3 linked regions of the Xenopus tropicalis genome follow. The protein of the gene in region 2 interacts with the protein of the main gene of each other region in a biochemical or structural test. Links are inferred from orthologs where the notes say so. Each region holds a gene or a part of one and is shown on either strand. Other genes may lie near its edges.

Region 1 (6,806 bases), on a different chromosome or scaffold from region 2:
CTTTTCTGGCACAGTTTAGAAGAAAACACATATGGGTGTAGACAGTAACACCAGTGCAATCACAGAATTCCTGTCTGTGCTGGAAATCAGAGAGGTGTTTCATGATACTGTGTAATATGAATTAACTTCTTAATCACTTAACTATTATTAGGTAACAAAAGCCTGGGAAAAACTGTAAGAAATCTTGCAATAATGGTAGTACTGGCTACTTGCTTTCCATTGTTATACAAATACAAGTCAAACAAGAAACTCGAGAAATATATGGCACCCCTTTTTTTGTTCCTAGTAATCTAATTAAAGTGAAAGCAGAGACATACATTATTCTTTTGATGTCATTGTTAAAGTTTATTCATTAAAGGTGGCCATACATGGGCTGATTTTAGCTGCTAATTCAGGTCCTTTACACCAATTCAGCAGCTTATCTGCCCATGTATGGGCACCCACAAGGGGCCTACCCGATCAACATCTGGCCTAAAATTGACCAGATCTCGATCAGGCAGGTTTGATTTTACATCAGATTGGGGACTGCATTGGCATGTTGATGTGGTCCCAGATCAGACAGCGGCTATGCCCACCATTGTAATTCGATCATTTGGCCCTAGGGCCAAACAACTGTTGTCGCCCACCTTTAGGGCAGGGGTACATGGGGAGATTAGTCGCCCTGTGACAAATCTTAGTTGTCACGGGTGACTAATCTCCCTGCAATGCCATCCCACCAGCTAGAATTTCAATCGCCGGTGGGATGGCATACGTGTGGTTGTGATGTCTCTCAAGACAACGGGCAATGGCGGGACATCGCAGCGACGTGTATGCCATCCCCCGGCAATTTCCATTCTAGCCGGTAGGATGGCATTGCAGGGAGATTAGTCAGCCATGACAACGAAGACACACTAAGCTACTAGTAACAGCTACTTTTTCATGGCTACTAAGCTCCAGAAAATAGACAGTACTGAGAATTGCCTCTGCTAAAATACACGTAGAGACAGTTATCAGTAAATGATCAGCCACGACAAGTTGCTGCTACTAGTTTTCATCCTAAAACATACAGAGCTACTTAGTAGCAGCTACTTGTCAAGGCTACAAAATGCCAGAAAATACCCTGCCATAGACAATACTGAGAAAAGCCTCTGCTAAAACACACGTAGAGACAATCATCAGTAAATTATCTGCACTGTCTATTTTTGTAGCCATGACAAGTAGCTGCTACAAGTAGCTATATGTGTCAGCCCTCAGTGGCTCATGGCCCACTGTGAGATTAGTCGCCTGCAGTTAACCTCCTCTGATGAAGCGCCACATGGTGCGAAACGCGTTAGGAGATTAGGATGCACCTGGTCATGTTTTGGTATAGTATGCTTTTGTTAGGAGTTCTGTTTATGTTCATATTTATTTGAGCCAATAAATGTTGTTGTTTTTATTCCACTGAAAACTTTTGCAATTTATTCTTATATTTGGTTCAGGACTTATCAGTGGGATATTACTGATAGATCCCCTTTCTGAAACCTATTTATTATTTATTGACTATTACAGTCGACTAATTTCCCCAAAATGGCTTTCCAACAACAACGTGAATCGCTGGTGGAAAGGCATAACCGTCCATTCGGTTTCCAGGGCAACTTGAAATGAAAACTAAGCAACGTGTATGTCTTTCCACTGGTGATTAACTTTGTGGTTGGTGGAAAGGCATTTTGGGGAGATCAGTCGCCTGCAGTAGCAGAGATTTAACCACGCACGACTCATCTCCCCGTTGTACATGAGACTTAAATAAATTGCCTATATAAATTTAGGATTTTATAAAAGCACAATAATGAACTTAAAAATCATTATATGAATTTTTGTAACTGTGATTGCAAAGTATTTATTATTAATTGTGGCTGAGGAATTTTAAAATGAAGCTTGTATTTAAAATGTATTAATTAAAATGGAGACATATATAAAAATGTACGTTATCTGCATGTTTTCAATTATACAGCAATATGAGCTAGAATATCACTTATGGGCTTTGTTCTCTAAGTGGTTCTGTACCACCAGACTAGATGTGTTTTTGTAATAACTTGGATTAGCCCAGACACCCCTGAGAAATGCCTGACTCACCTGTACTTGTGCATGCACAGACCCTGGAACTTGATAGGGTAACTCCTTGGCAGTTTTGTTAGATTTTGGAAGCAAGAATGGGTAGGAAAGGGAACGATATTTTGGTTTCATGATCTATTTAAAAAAAAATAAATATATATATATATATAAAACACAACTTACAGCTCTGAAACAGCATTTAATAGGTAGAATAAGCACTTATATATTATATATATTCACTTAGGTACCTTTTAGTTTGTATCTATGTATATCTGTATATCTTTATAAAACGCTACTTAAGTACGCAGAGCTGTACAGTAGAATACATTAATATAAACAGGGGTATTAAGATAATAGATAAATACAAAGTATTACAATAAGCACAAATACATAAAAGATACAATTGCAATAAGATAAGAGTCAAAGACACAAGAGGATGGAGGTCCCAGCCCCGTAGAGCTTACAATCTAGATGGGAGGGTAACTTACAGACACAAATATAAGTGCTGTAGGTCACAGTGGGTGACATTACAATATAAGTGCTAGTCAGGTGCTGGGTGAGTGTTCCAAAACGAAGTCTTTTAGTTTGGTTTTAAAAAGACTGAGGGAGGATTCTCTCCGGAGGAAATCAGGGAGGGCATTCCAAATGTAAGGGGCAGCAAGGCAGAAAGGTTTAAGGCGGGAAATAGCAGTAGTAGGGGGGGCGCAACCAAACGATTGCTCTACGAAGAACGAAGGAGTTAGCCAGGAACGTATGGAGACACAAGGGAAGAGATGTAGTGAGGAGCAGAGGAATGGAGGGCTTTGAAGGTTAAGAGAAGGAGTTTGTAAAATATTCTTTGTTTAATAGGAAGCCACGATAGGGACTTTTGCAGGGGAAGGGCCTGAAATCTCCTGGATAAGAGGAGGAGAATTCTGGCAGCAGTGTTTAATATAGACTGTAGGGGGGAAAGATGGGTTAGGGAGGCCGGTTAGTAGCAGGTTACAGTAGTCAAGGATGAGAGCATGCATGAGCAGCCTAGCTGTTGCAGTAGAAAGAAAGGGACATTTGATACATACTTTAGCAAAGTTCCATCGCTGGATGAAATGCCTTGCAACGTCTCGTGCTGCTTTTCCATGTACAACAGAAGCAATATCATGCCATGGCATTCTAGGGGTCTGGTATCGATCAATGAAATCTAAGCAAAAATACACAATTATGGTAAGGTGCAATGGGAAATGATTACTCTTTACAAGTACAATAGAGGGGATTATAGACAGATGGGGGGGGGATCTTCTTACCCATACAAAAGATCAGCACACCAGAGGCCACCCCTTAGAAGCAGTGTAGGTGGTTCTTCACATTGAGGGTAGTGAGGTTTTGGATGGCTGGTAATGTTCTGATGGCAGATTCTACTTATGTTTTTAAGAGTGACTTGTATAATTTCCTTGAAAAAGCATAATATCCAAGGCTATTGTGACCTTAAGATCTACAGTTAATATAGATATTGGTATATTATATAAGAAGCGTCAATTTTTTTTCACTAATGGTACACAGCCTCCCTGCCAAAGTTACATCCCCTTCACTAAGACATAAGGGCAGTTTTGTAAAAAGCAAACAGACTTTACAGAACACCTCAGTGTGGATGAAGGCATTTTCTCATAATTATGCTGGATGACAAAGTAATTTTTTTTGTCACTGCCCTTAGGGTAAGAACCCATGGATCAGTTGTGTCACCCACGATAGAGCTCTCCGAAAAGGCTTTTCACCAGCAGAGATCTATCATGGGTGACATAACCGCTCCGTGGGTACTTACAATTAGGCCCCTTTGAGAAAAACACTGCTATACCATTATCATAAACTGAATGTTAAAAATGGAATTAATGCATGATAAATGCAACAAATAAAAAGTCTCTAAGAGCAATTTACCTGCAAATGGTTTGTCCAGCTGTACCCAGTCCTTAAAAACAAAGTTGCAGTAGTCCTTTCCATGCCAAAAACGTGTTTCACCTAAGAGTTCTCCCACGCCTGTCTGCAAACTGCGAATTGATCCTCTATCTGCAATCATGTACAGAATGCCTTAACATAAGGACCTATTCACTTTCATTTAGAAAATCACTTTATACAGTAAGTTATTGCCCCACAGTTGGATGCAGATTAGAACAGGGGGTGAACATTTACTAGAAATCTGCGCAAATTACTGCAACCACTGTGGCGACCAGCTGGATCACATTTCAGTTCTCCCCTTGGATCCTAAACTCTCTATTTGATTTTGATTTGATCCATATGCAGACTGCAAAAAGTTCCACTCCCAGCAGGCCTGCATAGGTGTCTTGTTATGATAAGCCTGATTTAGCTAAGCATGTGGGCAATTCAGGCAAAGATCAACTTGTTTGGTGGCCTTGTCTAAACCTCGTCTAAACTGGTTAACCTGTTAAACTGGTGCTTAAACAGGGCTCCCAAAAGTATAAAGTCATTCATACTGGTTATGTAAATGCACTACTCCAAGTAAAAATCTTTAACAGCCTCTATGATATAGTAGAATTGTGTGTATATATATATTAAATACTCATCACAGTTATAACCACCGTATAAACATTTCAATATAAAATGCTCCATATACTTTTTAATATATAATGCTCCAGCTAAATACCTCCATAACATACAGAAAAGACACACTTACGCGATTCACTGTCTATGCTGCTCACACTGTCTGCATGCTGAAGGTTGTGCTTGTGGAGCTGTTTGTAAAGACTGAATTTGGCAAATTTCCTAGATTTTCCCAGTCCTCTGATTCTTGAAGAATCCACTGCATCCTCATCTTTCTTGGCCGGGACTTCAAAACTTTTCTTCTTCTCTGGTCTGTTATCACCATTTAAAGATGAAGTGGAATCAGATGAGATCTTAAAAAAAACAAAAACAAAGGGTAAATTGTTCAGCATGAGCCTAATAAAAAGGGTTTGTGTAGATTTTTACCTTAAAGTCAGCATTCCCTGTAGATTAAATATGAGACTGTACAGAACATTGTATATATTTCTCTTGCATATTTTAGTTAGAGGTATTTTTATGACAGCTTGTCATATAACATATTTTATTTAAATACATAGTTAATTTGGGTTGAAAAAGATAAAAGCCTATCCTACAGCCAGTTCTTTTTCCAAGTACAAATATTATGATACAGTCCAATATCCTTAGTCAGTAACCTGTGTAGTTCTGTATCAAATGCTTTAGCAGACATATACTCTGTCTCTATATGGTTTATTCTGGATCAGATGATAAATGTGTGTTGCTTTAAATGGGTTATTAAAAAAAACAAAAACAAAAAAAAAACAATAAAGGGAATATGTGGGCACATATGCTATTTTTAGCTATTGCTAAAGCAGTAAATTGGCTCATTCTGCTATTTGGTACTTTGTGGTGTTTTATTAGCTCTTTAAATTCTATGATTTATAGCACTTAAATTGTGGAATATCTTCATATAAATGATTAAATGTTCCACGCAGCAAATAATTTTACTATAATACTCTAATATAGTGACCAGGGGCCAATTCATTAAAACACGAGTTTGAATCCCGAATGGGAAAAATTCGGATTGGATACGATAATTTCTGAAGATCACAAATATAACGAAAATGCTTCCGAAAAAATTGTATTAGTCACGATAATATCGTATTGGCGATCCGAAACGCACAAAAATTTCGTACCGAACTATTGTAAACAGCGGCAGAACCTTTTCTGAATTTTTCGTGCAAGCGTCCAAAAAAGCTGCGCAAATGTCCGAAAAAGTCGCGCGGGCACACGAAAAAATCGGCGCAAATAAGCTCGGAGCATTCACGTCTTGATAAATCTCCCCCTCAGTGTTTTGTAATAATGGTTTTATATAACTTTATGTTGCAGATGTTTTCAAGATGATTACCTTATTTATTGCAGTTGTTGACTGTGTTGTTACAATTCGCTTAACGCTGCCAACATCAGTTAGTCTGTGTTCATCATCATCCCATCTTCCGTAGGCTAGGTCAATCCCTCCAACAAAAGCTACAGACTGATCTATCACAACAATCTTTTCATGATGAGCCCAAAGGTACACTGAGGAAGACATGTGATCTGGGTGCCTCATAACCTAAAGACATTAAAACACACAAACAGTGTGTAAAGGTACATAAAACTAAGGCAAACTTTGTTCACTAGATAAAAGTAAAGGTTTCAGTTATCATAATTATGAGGTGTGACAGGAGTAAAGCAAAGTCCACACCAATCACATTTTTGCTAGATAATAATCTTAAGGCAATGTGAGCTCAGAATTTATTTTTTTTGCTTATTTTCCCTAGGTACTGTGAAATGTATATAATATGGATTGTTTAATGTTATCCCTCCAAACAAGTTATGGAAAAACTTATAGGACATGATTTTTCATGTCGTGAGTTGATAATCAAGTATTCCCTAACTCATATTCTAAAGGTGACCATACACAGGAAGATTTCAGCTGCCAATTCTGGTCCTTCAGCGCGATTTGGCAGCTTACCTGCCCGTGTATGGGCACCCCCGACGGGCCTACCCAACCATAATCTGTTGTAATTTGATCATTTGGCCCTAGAATTAGCTCAATATGGGCCACCTTTACGTGGTCATATCAGAAGATCGGCTCGTGGTGAACTCGCCAAACAAGCAAATCTTCTTGTGTATGGCCACCTTAACTTATTTGTCAATCAGATTACCTGGCACAGCTAGCAGCCATAATCAAGTTAAGTATCTGCCAG
Region 2 (6,806 bases):
AGCGATTTCTTTGACAGAATTGTATGTGGTAAAATATGTACTTATGATCCAATAATAAAAAAAAAATTTCCTTTCTTGCTTTATGTAGAATTATGACATTTTTTTTTATGTACAATTTAGACAAGCAATATTGGGGCTCACATGTATTAATAAGCCACGGGGGAGCTATGTCATGCAATCTATTAAAATGTACAGACATTTATAGTGTCCACATTATCCCCAGAAACATTTATCTTAGATACTCATTTTAGGGTGGGACAAAATATACTGAGTGGTAAAAAATGTTGTTTTAGTGGTAAGCGACATTCAGAAACAGTGAATGTCAGGCAGCAGGAATCCCAAGCAGGTGAGTCAGTGTCTTTCCTCTAAAACACAGATTCTATTATGCAGTTAGTATTCATTTTCAATAAAAAAAAAAAAAAAAGCCTAGTTGTAATGTAACTGTATATCCTCACTTTAAGGAGTTGCCTACCATTTTGTAATGAACAACCCTTTAAACTCCTTCAAAAATGTCAACAATTTTCTGGTATACCTGCTGTATGTTAGGCAGGTATTAGTATTATTTACATTGGAACATAACATTTGCTTTTACAGAGGTTTTTATCAGGTAGAACTGCAGCAATCAAAATGTAGTTCACTTTCACTTGAATGGGAAACATGCTTTGTGTGGCAGATGTTTCTACATAGAAGTTATTATTTCTGAGCTAAAAATTGCAAATTGTGATGGTAAATCTTTAGCAAAAACCATGTACTGTCCAAAGCAGCTCACCTAAAGTCTGCTGTTGCAGCAAAAGATTCCTGTTCTGTGATCGAAAAAACACAAAGGAACCCTTCCCCACTTCGAAAGTAATTATCTCTGATGGCTGCATAGTCCTCCTGGCCAGCAGTATCCAAGATATCAATCTGGACTTCCACTCCATCCAGCACAACCTTTTTCCTGTAACTGTCTGCTTTGGTAGGTTCGTAGTCTTCCACAAACTAGTAAACAAAACACAAACTTAAAGAAAACATTCCTAAGAATGGTCTGGAATTGTTACATGTGCATATATTATATATATATATATATATATATATATATATATATATATATATATATATATATATATATATATATATATAAGCGTCAGCTGATATTTTACCTTTATAACAGGTATGGATGTTTTAATAAAAAAAAAAATAGTTTTTTATGTTTGATTCAAAATAAACTTTTTTTTTTATACAGCTTTTTATGTCTGGACTATAGTCCTCAAAGTACGCCCCCCTCCAGCTCCAGCTCCCTGCTGCGGAGTCAAACTACGGCCCGCTCCGGTGTCCTCCCTCTCCCAGCTCCCCCATTCTGTCCATCCTCCCTCTTCCAATCCCCACTGCAAGGGGCGAGGACGCAGCGGGGGCGGGGTCTGGCCCGCTGGCCATAGTTTGAGGATCCCTGCTCTAAAGCTTTAGAGACCTAGTACATAGGAGGGGAACAGGAGGGGTGAGTGGGTTGCACTTGAATTAAACACAGGGCACCTTTGAAGATTTTTTTTTTGCGGGGGGAACAGCGCAGTCTCTGTGACTTTGTGCAACTGCAGAATACCAAAGTGCCATGGATATTTTTCCACTGGCGATTTACATCGCTACCAGTTGGTGTAATAAAAAGCCACAGGAGAACAGAGAGTTCTCTTTGAATTGTATTTAATCAACACACAGTGCATACACATTATACTGCAAATATAACAAATATAATACAATTTCCAATAAGTCCAAAACACAACTATATTACACATATATTAACATGTGGGAGAGGCAGTTTACACGCCATTCATGCTTGGTATGTATGGATCCAGAATGATATTTTATCAAAAAAGTGCATGCCTGATCTGCAGTCGAGCAGGAGCCAGCAAGCATGGGCAAGTAGACAGTTCTTTTACCAGCTTCCTGTTCAATGGTGGTGAAGGAAAGCTTAGTATACTAAAGCGGACAGAGCTTCATTATAGATAAGGAAGTTACTTATCTGAGCTGCAAAACGTTTACTTATTCTTTAAGCCCAAATGGAAGGGCCTTAAATTGAATATGGTCTTGGCTCAGAGCAAGGGATACCAGGGAGCCTAGGGAAAGATGGCTGTGGCCTTCTTTGGACAAGAGCAACACTACAGCATTAAAATACATTGACACTTCAATGCCATGTACAAATAAGAATATTTCTTAAGCTATGTAATTATTTTATGCAGAGGTGTGAAATTATTGAGCTGCAAAAATTGTTTGCTGCCTGAATTTGTCCTATTATTGGGTAAAAGGTGATCTGTCACTAAGAAATAATTCAGGCAGGTGCCATTTTGTGGAAACAAGGCAAACTATGCATTATCCCAAAATTCCATGTAAGAGAAGAAAGAAATGTAAGAAAGGAGGACATGATGCACACACCCAAGCACAAGTTATGCAACACAGTGAAGAGGGCAGGGGCATGCGAAGAGTTAAGTAACATTAGGAAGTATAGAAATTACTGTAATTGCAGCCAGGACGAGAAGGTAAAATATGATTGACAACTAAGATTTTTAAAATTAGTTTATAACAGCTATTGATGTTTGAATAATGAAAAATCCCATTAATATCAGGGAGAGGTGGCATGACCAACCATGGCCCATTACTATCTTCCAAAAAAGGCAGCTCATAACATTTAATGACATTAACACAAAGTTATTGACATCGCTGGGAAAAGTAATTCTGATTTGTCCACAGAAACAGAGCCTATATAGTGAAATAATCAGATTTTTTTTTCATTTCCTGAAGCAAGCATACCAATTTAATATTTTAAATTAGATTTTCATATACAGGTATGTGATACTTTATCCGAAAAATTACGAAAAGGCTATCACTGATAGACTCCATTTTATGCATATAATTCTAAATTTTAATACATACTTCCTTTTTCTTTGTAATAATAAAACAGTACCTTGTACTTGATCTCAGTTAATATATAATTAATCTTTATTGGTGAAAAAATTATCCTGTTGGGTTTATTTCATGTTTAAATGATTTTTAGTAGACTTAAGGTATGGAGATCTAAATTACAGGAAGACCCCTTATCTGGAAAACCCCAGGTCTCAAGCATTCTGGGAACGTTACAGGTATAGGACCCTTTATCCAAAGTAATAATAGTGCCAAAAGGACACTCCTACCTCTTGCTTTTTGTCATTTTGTACAATTCACAGGGAAGGCATGTCCTCTGTAAATAAGGTTTATTAGGAAAGGAGTTAATACAGGAGCAAAGTAAAGAGTAAAGGACAAACAAGTAAGAAGTATCCAAAGAACTACTATATTTTATTTCATCTATAGATTAAATTATTGGAAGCAATCGTTCTTTTCCTTCAATCCAATCAATCCCTACCTGACAGGCTCAACATTTGCCATAAGCAGCATGTTCTTCATTCAGGGAAATCCATGACCATAAGTATATTATGGAAGAAGATAAAACACCCCACAAACTGTTAAAAGTCAGCTAAACAAAGGTCTTCATCTAAGCTTGCTGGGTGCAGGAAGCAGTAAGAAAACAAATGAATCATGCACAGCATTTTTTGGCAGCCGTACTGCTGAGCAGGGCAGAATAAACCTGCCTATATTATACCTCCCAATTGTCATAATTTTCACAGGACAGTCCTGATTTTAAAAGCTCAGCCCCCAGTCCCGGGTTCTTATTGAAAAGTCCCTCATTTCCCTTTGATCACCTGCACTGAACGCCAAAAAAGATATAAAGTTTCTCAAACTTAATCAGATAAGTAGGCTTTTGGCAGAGAGCCCAGACTACTCAACACCTGCAATTAGATACAATTGTACTAATAAGATAAACAGGTCTCTTGGGGGAATGGAGAATTGCATCGTAAAAGGCAATTTCACCTTCATTAGCAAAACTGTAAAAAAAAACATAAAACAAGACCCCAAACCTACCTCCAGAGTATTTAGGGGGTGTGGTCACAAAAATGGGCATGGTACCTCTTTAAATTTTTCAAATGTTGGGAGGTATGCTATATGTAAATACTGATTTGAAACTGAAAGTCCCAGCACAGGTGATGTACAGTAGGTCTGTCTCTAACTCCAATTGGCACAGAATAAAATATAAAACCTGAGTTGCATGAGCTGCAGCATATTCACTAGATAAAAGACTTCTTTATATAAAATAGCTGGAAATCCAAAGGTCATATTTGCCCAAGGTTTACAAACACAAGATGCCAAACTACAGCTTCAACTATGCTTTAAAACTTACAGCACAGCAGCTTTGGAACTACTAATTCTAGCACAGAAAGGGTTACTAGGATTTAGTTAAAACAACTGGATTTACGGGACAATCAAGTGACAGTTAAGAGAGGGCTGGTATTATATTTGGTGATAGAAAATTGGTATTATATAAATTTAAATCTCATTGCTGCAGCCACCAGTCCTCATAGTAATGTTGGCAGCCTGTAGAACTTAAGCTTCTGCATGCTGAATTGCACCTTGTATTTTATTTTCCATTTACCCATGTTCATTTGTGTTCATTTATGCTGGGAAATGGACAGCTCTCTTTTTCTACTGGTATTGGGATCCCTTATCTGGATACCTGATACCCAGAAAGTTTAGAGTTACAGGATGGCATCTCCCATGGAGCCCATTATAAGCTATTCCCGTTTATTTAGCTTTTTCCTAATAATAAAAAAGAACATTACATTGTGTTTAGTCCTAAGTACCCTGGTGATCTACCCAGGTGACTGAGCTATTCTTTTAGTCTTATTTAATATTTAACTGTTTATTATAATATTTAGTAGTCCATGCATTTGGTGATCCAAAAATAGATTTCATAACTGTATCAGCAAATCAGCTTTGGTAATAAAACAAACAAAGCAAAAATGACTTACCTCATCATACATAAATTGAAGTGTTAAAGCTGATTTTCCAACTCCACCACTGCCTACCATGATGACTTTGTGCAATGCCAATGAATTCTGCCCTTTGGGCTTATTTGCTGCCATCTTCCGATTTTATGTTAAATTCTGAAGGGGCAAAAATATAATAAGAAAGATCCATTAAAGATTAGCACAAAACAGCCTCATCTGGCCATTCTCAGTATGAAGTACATTAGGGTTTCTTAAACCCTTCAGCTTGGTATTCTGCCTTTTTGGGCAGGGTTTGGTTTCGGGCAAGTCCACTGTCCTGGCCAAACCGATTCCAAATTATCATAAATAAGAATATGCTAATTAGCATCTGGAAGGGTTAATTGCTGCACGCGCCAATTTTTAACCCCTCCGTGTTGGTTCAGTATTCAGCCGAATCCATTGGGGTGGATCCGGGGGTTCGGTGCATCCCTAATAATAAGATGTGTCAAATATTTATTGCCAATGTTTTATTTGATTGGCTCTTATTATACAAGACAACTTTTACTGTTTGTATCTTTAGCAGGTTGTAACCCTACATTTTTGTTTTAAAAGATACATTTTAGGTACTAAATTATATTTTTCATTGGCTTTTAAAACATGTAACCTTTATTTATCCCTCTTTACAGTGCACATTAGTGGTGTCTGCAGAAACCTACCTGGCTGCAGAGGTCATGAACCCACTTCTAGTCTGAATAAAGACCTGCTCCCACATTTACAGCAACAATGATGGATAAAAAGGGGGTGTGACCAGACCAAGTACTAACTCTTGAAGCTTATTAAATTTTAATTTGACCAAACCTATTGTGGAAGATTGCATAAAGTGTTAGTGCTCAGTGTTGTAGAACTTATGACTCTACATCCTATAGCACATAGCTTATTACATCCACAGCATACAGATTGCGGCACTTAAAGGGTTAAATTAATTGAACATAAACAATAAATCAGAATTGTTGCAAATCAGTGTAACATGAAAAAAACAGCAACAGGAGTCTGGTGTGAAGTACAGCTTATGGTCCTTTGAAACAATTATGTGGTGGAAATCCTGTACATAGCACTGCTGACCCTTAAAGTACTTATCCTAGTTTTTTTTGATTTTGAGGTGATCCACCAACTTGTCGGCATCACTGAAAGACTTGGAACTAGATAGCACAAGCTTTCAGGGGTGACCCCTTCTTCAGGTGCACCTGAAGAAGGGGTCACCCCCAAAAGCTTGTGTTGTTTGTTCATTTCTGCAAATAAATGATTTAAAGGCATTGCCGACACACTGGAGTGCTTCTTCCCCTTTGCAAAGATACATGGAAAAAAGGCTAGGGAGCGGCTGTGGAAGTCAAGCACCCTTTGAGAACATGTATGTAAGTGGTGTGCTGAAGATTTTTCTTTATGTTGAAACTAGATAGAACATATTTACACTACTGACATAATGCGAAACCAGCTCAGCAGATACTCCTCAGTAGTGATCAGTCACTCAGATAAAAAAAGCTGTATAATAAATGCCCTGGTTGCTGTGATTGTGGATTCCAAAATAATAAAGGAAACAATTTAAATAATTTATATAGTGTATAAAGCTTATTTTGTTCAACTAGAAAAGAATTTGGAATTATGTATTAGGGTGACAGATCCCCTTTAAAAGCAACATCCATCAAATATTATACAAACGATATGGGATAACAGTGTAGAACTAGAAGTAAACAGGTGTGCATAATGGTGTCATGGACCTCACATGTACCGCTGAAGAATATAAACAGTCCCACAAACAATGAGGTTGAATGAGTTTCCAAGGCAGTGCATGTACGCAAACATATGCAGTCTGCAACTATGGATCCCATACCATAGCCTATACCATAAAGACTGCAAGCCAGTGATTGAGCCCCATATTGCCTAAACCTAAAAATTTGCCAGGCAAGGGATATAACAACTTGA
Region 3 (6,806 bases), about 23 Mb from region 2:
TTAATGTTTTACCTTTCTCACCTTTGCAGCTAACACAAAATGTGATGTATGGTATTTCATGCAAGCTGCTGAATTTTTCATAAAACATTTGTACTATTTAACAACCATGATTAAAACTCTCATATTTTTATGATGTTTCCCTCTGAGGGCACAATTGGAGACATTTAGCTATTAAAGGGTTAGAAATAACAAGTTGGGCGCACGTGTGTGTATAAACATAACTGTCCTTGCCTTTCAGTTCTTTCACATAACCCTCTTTACAGCTGTGCATGAGTTGAACAATCCATTTATGCTGTGCTCCAATACATTGCCAAGCAGGGTCACCAGGAGCGTGGAGATCGGAAAGATATCTGTAACAGCAAAAACCAAAGATCAGAGATCAATCAGAGCCTACAACAACAAAACTAAACAGAAGCAAGCTGCAACATTTTTTTCATCTATCTTGTGATCTTTATCTGGTTTTTACTGTATAGTCTTCAGTCCTCTGTGCATGGATATGGTTGCAGAACTGCATTACACATATTTAGCAGTTGCTTACTTGCCAGCTTAGTTCAAATAATGAGTAGACTGGATGATTTATAAGAATGATGTCCTGAAAAATGACAACTATTTATTTTTGTTGCGAGTGTCAGAGCATATCTTCCAGCAGCAGGATCTATTTATTTCAGTGCATACGCCTAATTTATGTGAGATTTCAAACAGAAGCTCAGAACACTTTACTTCAAACACCAGAAAGAACAACTGAGGGCTTCAAATGCCCAGTTAAAAATATCTTAAAATAGCAAATACAGAAACCAATTAGTTACAGGTGTCAAAGGATATGTTTTGCTGCCCAAAACAAAGAAAACGATGAGAGAATGGAAATGGAATGTATGCAGATACACTGAAAACTGTAAAGGGTATTTGCATAGGATGTTAACACTACCTTAACAGGGTAATCTCACCAGAGGAAGATGCAGGTGTTTTACAAAAAAAAAATCTGACTTAAGTAGAATTATAGAACTGCACTGGAGCAACTTAAAAACGGTGTACAGTTTAAATCCTTAAATTCACAGATTTTTTTCAATGTCAGCACAGCAGCAACAACTAGCATACTATTAGCAGACATTGTAAAAAGGAGGGGTGAATATAAGAAACAAAACGTAAACACAGGTTTAAGTAATAGATCATAAAAAGGGTTTCTGTTCAGGGTGTTTACAGAAAAAACACAGGGTGACATACTGAGCTGAAAGGACAAAACGCCTTGTTAACTATGCTATGATTAGAAAAGAGGAATTTATTTAGAGGGTAGTATAAAAGATAATAGTATAATATTAGACTGATGTATGCAAAGTTATAGAGGTGAACTCAAAAAAGGACTAATTCAACTGCTCAAATGTTTAAAAGTGATCCTGCTATGATTTTTATGGTGTACGTTTTATTTCTAAATTACACTGTTTACATAGCAAATAATTCATTTTACCATTTAAAATTGTATTTTTGAACCAACAAATGTATTTTTTTAGTTATAATATTGGTGTGTAGGCAGCCATCTCAGTGGATTGTGCCCAATTCAGAACTTTCAGAAGGAGCCAGAACTACATGTTAGAATTGCTTTAAAGCAGCTATTCAAACAAACTGCTGTTTCTCCTACTCTATGTAACTAGAGGAGTCATGGATATTTTACTATTAAGTGCTATTCTGATATTTACCACTTTTAGGAATAGAGGTGTCAGGGAGCTGCTATCTTGCTACCTTCCCATTATTGTGCTGATTGGCTCCTGGGGGAAAAAGGAAGGGGGGTGATATCGCTCCAACTTGCAGTGCAGCAGTAAAGTGTGACTGAAGTTTATCAGAGAACTAGTCCCATGGCTGTGGCACCTTGGGACATAAAGAAAATGGCTAGGTCTTTATTATAATCCCCATGACATCAATTAGGAATACTGTACTTTCAGGGGTCTCTTTCTACTTTATAATATACGTGTGATAGCAAAAGAAGATTTGGACAGGACTACCAAGGCAGTCACTAGTTGAAAAGCAGAAGAGTTGCGATTAACCTTATTTAAAAATAACAGTGCAGTAAATAATAATGGCAATATAATATTCAGCATTCAAAATAAGGGCAACTTGGCCAGTAACAAAAAAAAACTCCTGGTTCCCCAAGACCCAAATTAAATCTATTGTGCAAATACTGGAACAGTCTATCTCACCTGATGTAGCGTTTTTGATCATGCAAAGTGGATGGAGTTTCCAACAACTTGTCCAATAGTAAATTTCGTAAAGATTCAATACGGGTTTCCACTTCAGCATACACTAAAAGATGAACATAGACTTACAATTCTGTAAAATGTGATATTATATATCATATCAAATGAATGGAATTAGTGTACCGAAGGACTTTACTTACATTGTAAGCTCTATGGGGACAGTTAGCTTAATCTTCAGTGTAACTGAACTTCGCATTTATTTGTGTTTATTATAATTATTGTTTGAGTTATTATTATAATATTATTATTGAGTTTATTATTATAATATCATTATTGAGTTATTATTGTGTGTTCCAGTCTTTTTTTGCCAAAACCCTGCTTGTGCAAAAAACATTTTAGTTTTTATTTAAAACCAATTCAGCAAGCCAAAAAAAAAAATCACTTTAAAGAAAATAAGATTGAGTTCAGAAACTCGCTTGCAGTTTCTGCAATCCCAAAAATGTATGTGCCAGCCAGGGAGCTTGTCATTGAAAATTATTAAGGAAGGGTGACAGACAGAGCAACAGAGAAGCAGGAATATTGATCCGTGGCACTTGCTGAAAAGCAAGCTCTGGCCATATGGAAAAATACTGTACAAGGGGCCACAAACAGTATAGCCACCTTTATATTTTTCGTTTCTGTTCCTTCAAACTGACAGCTCCTCTTCCCTTCTTATTCTGTCAATGCAACACTGCCCAACTTTAAAATCACTTTGAAGAAATTAAAAGTTTCAGTGTGGATGATAGTGATTTTTTTAGATAAAGCTCTTGAGAAAGTGCAGCAACTGAATATGCAGGCAGTACACTGTCATTTAGGGTCGCTAAAACTCTAACTTTCAAAGACAGCTGATGAGTAGATAGTCTGGCATTAGTATTTTAAAACTGTAAATATCTCAGAAATCACTACAAATAGAAAATTTATGTAAATTCAGAAGTGCTCCAAGAGCATTCACAACCCTTACAAAAATGGATTTTTCAGCCTTTAGAATCAATATACAACCAATAACTTATTAGATATTTGTGGTTCTATAAAACTTTTGAAGAAAATTTCTGCTAGTACCAGAGATAAATATATTCTCACCTTTTTTGTGTGTTTTACAATTCTCAATTAGGCAAGTTTATTCTCACCTTTTTTAAAAACCTGGACTTCAGTCTTCCCAAACAAGGATTTTGCTTTCTCATAGTCATTAATGACAACATCATAGTCACCCTTCGTAAAAATAACGGGGAAAAAAAACACAGCTTTACTGGTAGATAAATATATTGTATTGTATATATATTTATATTGTATTAAAGCTAGACATTTTGTGGCAATACCTCATCCCTTTACTATGTAAAACTATAGAATATGAACATGGAAGTAAAGTATAAAACTAGCAATATACCATAAGAAATAATTTAGCCATACATTTATTGGCAAGTGAAGAAATATGTTAAATACAGTGTAAATATCTTTTAAAAAGAGAGTACACTTTTTAGAGAGGTACTGGACAGAGGTACTGAAGTGAATTTTTTTTCTAGAGAACATACAAAGAGTAAGAAACAAACAAGAAAAATAGCAAGAACCATCAGAATACCAGAAAACAAACACTTCCATATGCATCATGCAATGTTTAACGTGGTGCACTGGCATATAATATATTCAAACTTGCCCAATGGTCTAACTGATAAATATCCACAACAGATCGATACTGGTAGAGACTGGTGGGCCTCAATACCAATAACCACATGAAACTTTGTTTTGTACGTCATTATTACAGGTATGCAATCCCTTATCTAAATAAAGGTACAAATAACAGTAAGGCCATATTCCATTGAGTCCATTTTAAGCAAATAATTCTAATTTTTAAAAATGATTTCCTTTCTCTCTGTAAAAATAAAACTGTAGTTTGTACTTGATGGTAACTGCAAGAATCCATATTGGCGGGAAAACAATCTCATTGTGGTTTATTTAATATCTAAATTTATTTTAGCAGATTTAAGATATGGTGATTCAACTCACGGAAAGATTCCTCATCCAGGTCTCAAGCATTCTGCATAAAAAATCCTATACATTTATAATTATGTATATGGCCAGTTTGAGCGTGCCTTAGATGAGTAATGAGCAGGTTTACTGGTTGTGCTAAATGCACTGGAGTCAACAGGCACCAACATTTTGCCATGGTTTCACAAAATAAATTCTGTGATAACAAAAATTTGCTTCAAATGTATGTCTGGCAAAAAAATTCACTCATCACTATGAACAGCCATACTTGTAGAATGAGAGACTTTTGTTAAAAAAATACAGTTGCCACTGCCATGAGCAGGAAAGGGTCATCAAGAGCATTCTTTCAACTCTCTTATCAGTTCAGGCAACAAAATGCTCAAGGCAACAACAATGTCTGCCATTGCCCTCAAGTTTCTAGGTACAGGCAGAATTAATGGCAAGCAATAAAAAAAAAAGAAAAAAAAAAAGCAAAAACAAAATGAAGGGAACAAGTTGCAAATTGGTTTGGTGACATTGTTCAGCAGGGGATTACCTTTTGAATGTTCTTTTCAATATTAAGTGGAAGGTTAAAGAGAAATTTAAATCTCTGAAGCACATTCAAGGCATTTCTTGTAGAGTCTGCTTTATCCTTGCGACCAAGTACTTCCTGGAACAGGGTGTCAGCTGTTGTACTTGCACCTAGAGACAAGCAGATGTTCTAACTGATGAGATTTGCCTAAGGCTTGTACCACCACCAAAATCATTTTAAACCACTCCTGGATATGAAGTACACCTTGTGATCATACACATAGAAATATATTAGAGCAGTGCTGCCCAACTTCTGCGGTGCCGAGGGCCAGAATTTCTCTAGCATACATGGTGGAGGGCCGCTAATGGAAGCCAGTTTTGACCACTCCCCTTTTTTAAACCACACCCACTTCAGACCACATCTATTTTATCACAATAGTGGTAGTGCAGCAAAAACCCAATTGCTTGGTCCTTACTGCGGGGATATCAACCATCATATGTGAAAGAATTATATTATATCATATTAAGATATACCCTTAAATCCATATGCGTCCTCATCCCCTGTGGATAGCACAGCAACCCTCAGCACATAATAACACACCTTAGGGACCATTTAATGACTATTTCCAACTGCTAACAAACCCCTGTAAGGTTCACCTCCCACAGGCAGCAAAAGGAAGGCAGAGTATGGCACACACAGGCAGCACTCTGCCTGTCCTATGCTGCCTGTGTGTGCCATACTCTGCCTGCACTACCCTGCCTGTGTGTGCCATACTCTGCCTGCACTACCCTGCCTGTGTGTGCCATACTCTGCCTGCACTACCCTGCCTTTGTGTGCCATACCCTCTCTGACATATGCTGCCTGTGTGTGCCATACTCTGCCTGCACTACCCTGCCTGTGTGTGCCATACTCTGCCTGCACTACCCTGCCTGTGTGTGCCATACTCCGCCTGCCCTATGCTGCCTGTGTGTGCCATACTCTGCCTGCCCTTAGCTGCCTGTGTGTGCCATGCTCTGCCTGTCCTACCCTGCCTTTGTGCCATACCCTCCCTGCCCTATGCTGCCTTTGTGCCATAATGTGCCTACCCTATGCTCCGTGTGTGTGCCATACACACAGGCAGCATAGTCCAGGCAGTCCCTACAATGTCTAAGGTGCGAACAGGTGAACAATGTGGGTGATTACAGCCTGAGGTGTGAACACTGCAGGGGATATACAATGCAGAGATTAAAAGGTGTGAACAGTACAGGGGATTACATTTTTAAACAATACAGAGGGATTACAGCCTGAATCTGAGGTGAGAACCATGCAGGGAGCCAGTTAATCTCAGTACTGATACAATTTAAAGCTTACTCAAAGGTAACCCATCAAAGCAGCCAGACAGGTGGGGGGCCACCCAGAGGGGGGTTGTGGGACGCCAGTTGGACAGCACTGTATTAGAGGAAACATTTTGCAAAACTAACTGAATATTATGCAAAAGGAAACATTCACTACTGTATGTGGCTTATCAACTGTGATGCCTTTATGCAAAACTTAAACATTTCATAAAAAACGTGTAGGACATAAATATAAATGAAACATTATTAAAAGCTAATGCGTTTCCTATAAACAGGCCTTTAATGTGTAACTTAATAACAGACTTTAAATGTGCCGATTACGTTTTCTTAAAACTAATTTGAAGTCTATTTTTTTAGTAAACAAGCATTTTCTTTGTGATTATTTGTATTTTAGAATTCAGATTTTTGGTTTAGAATACAGACTCGCTGTAAAATTACAAAGTGCTATTGTGATCACTCAGTACAGGAGACCATTTATTTAGCTTGTAAATAGCTTGCATATTTTTACCCGTGAATTACCTAATTATTCCTTTACCAAAAACTAAAGAAAATAAAAGAAAACTGGAACCATTTTGGGCAGTTTTGATCACTGCCTGTAGAAATGCTCTACATTATCTGGTCTAGTGACCATACTTTAAGCAAAGATGAAAAAAATTACATCAGACTCTCTGGGTGGTTTGCGTGCCATATTCTCTCGTCAGCACTGTGGGTGGCCCACAGAATCTGAGCACCGCTGAGTTACAATAATTGTTT

The links.
Region 1: the proteins of rala (region 2) and pld1 form a complex in vitro, tested with the Homo sapiens proteins (2 studies listed by BioGRID). The link is inferred for Xenopus tropicalis from reciprocal best matches to the Homo sapiens genes RALA and PLD1.
Region 3: the proteins of rala (region 2) and exoc2 are reported together in a solved structure, tested with the Homo sapiens proteins (2 studies listed by BioGRID, with this or other methods). The link is inferred for Xenopus tropicalis from reciprocal best matches to the Homo sapiens genes RALA and EXOC2.

What each region holds. Positions count from the first base shown.
Region 1 is NC_030681.2:111,420,011-111,426,816, reverse strand, and holds part of pld1 (phospholipase D1), read right to left. Parts: intron 6,170-6,806; coding exon 5,966-6,169; intron 4,953-5,965; coding exon 4,733-4,952; intron 4,108-4,732; coding exon 3,979-4,107; intron 3,248-3,978; coding exon 3,129-3,247; intron 2,206-3,128; coding exon 2,092-2,205; intron 1-2,091. UniProt on the Homo sapiens protein: Function as phospholipase selective for phosphatidylcholine. Implicated as a critical step in numerous cellular pathways, including signal transduction, membrane trafficking, and the regulation of mitosis.
Region 2 is NC_030682.2:64,535,121-64,541,926, reverse strand, and holds part of rala (ras-related protein Ral-A), read right to left. Parts: intron 5,004-6,806; 5' UTR 4,983-5,003; coding exon 4,869-4,982; intron 979-4,868; coding exon 770-978; intron 1-769. UniProt on the Homo sapiens protein: Multifunctional GTPase involved in a variety of cellular processes including gene expression, cell migration, cell proliferation, oncogenic transformation and membrane trafficking.
Region 3 is NC_030682.2:87,112,100-87,118,905, reverse strand, and holds part of exoc2 (exocyst complex component 2), read right to left. Parts: intron 4,890-6,806; coding exon 4,744-4,889; intron 3,435-4,743; coding exon 3,353-3,434; intron 2,293-3,352; coding exon 2,190-2,292; intron 351-2,189; coding exon 232-350; intron 1-231. UniProt on the Homo sapiens protein: Component of the exocyst complex involved in the docking of exocytic vesicles with fusion sites on the plasma membrane.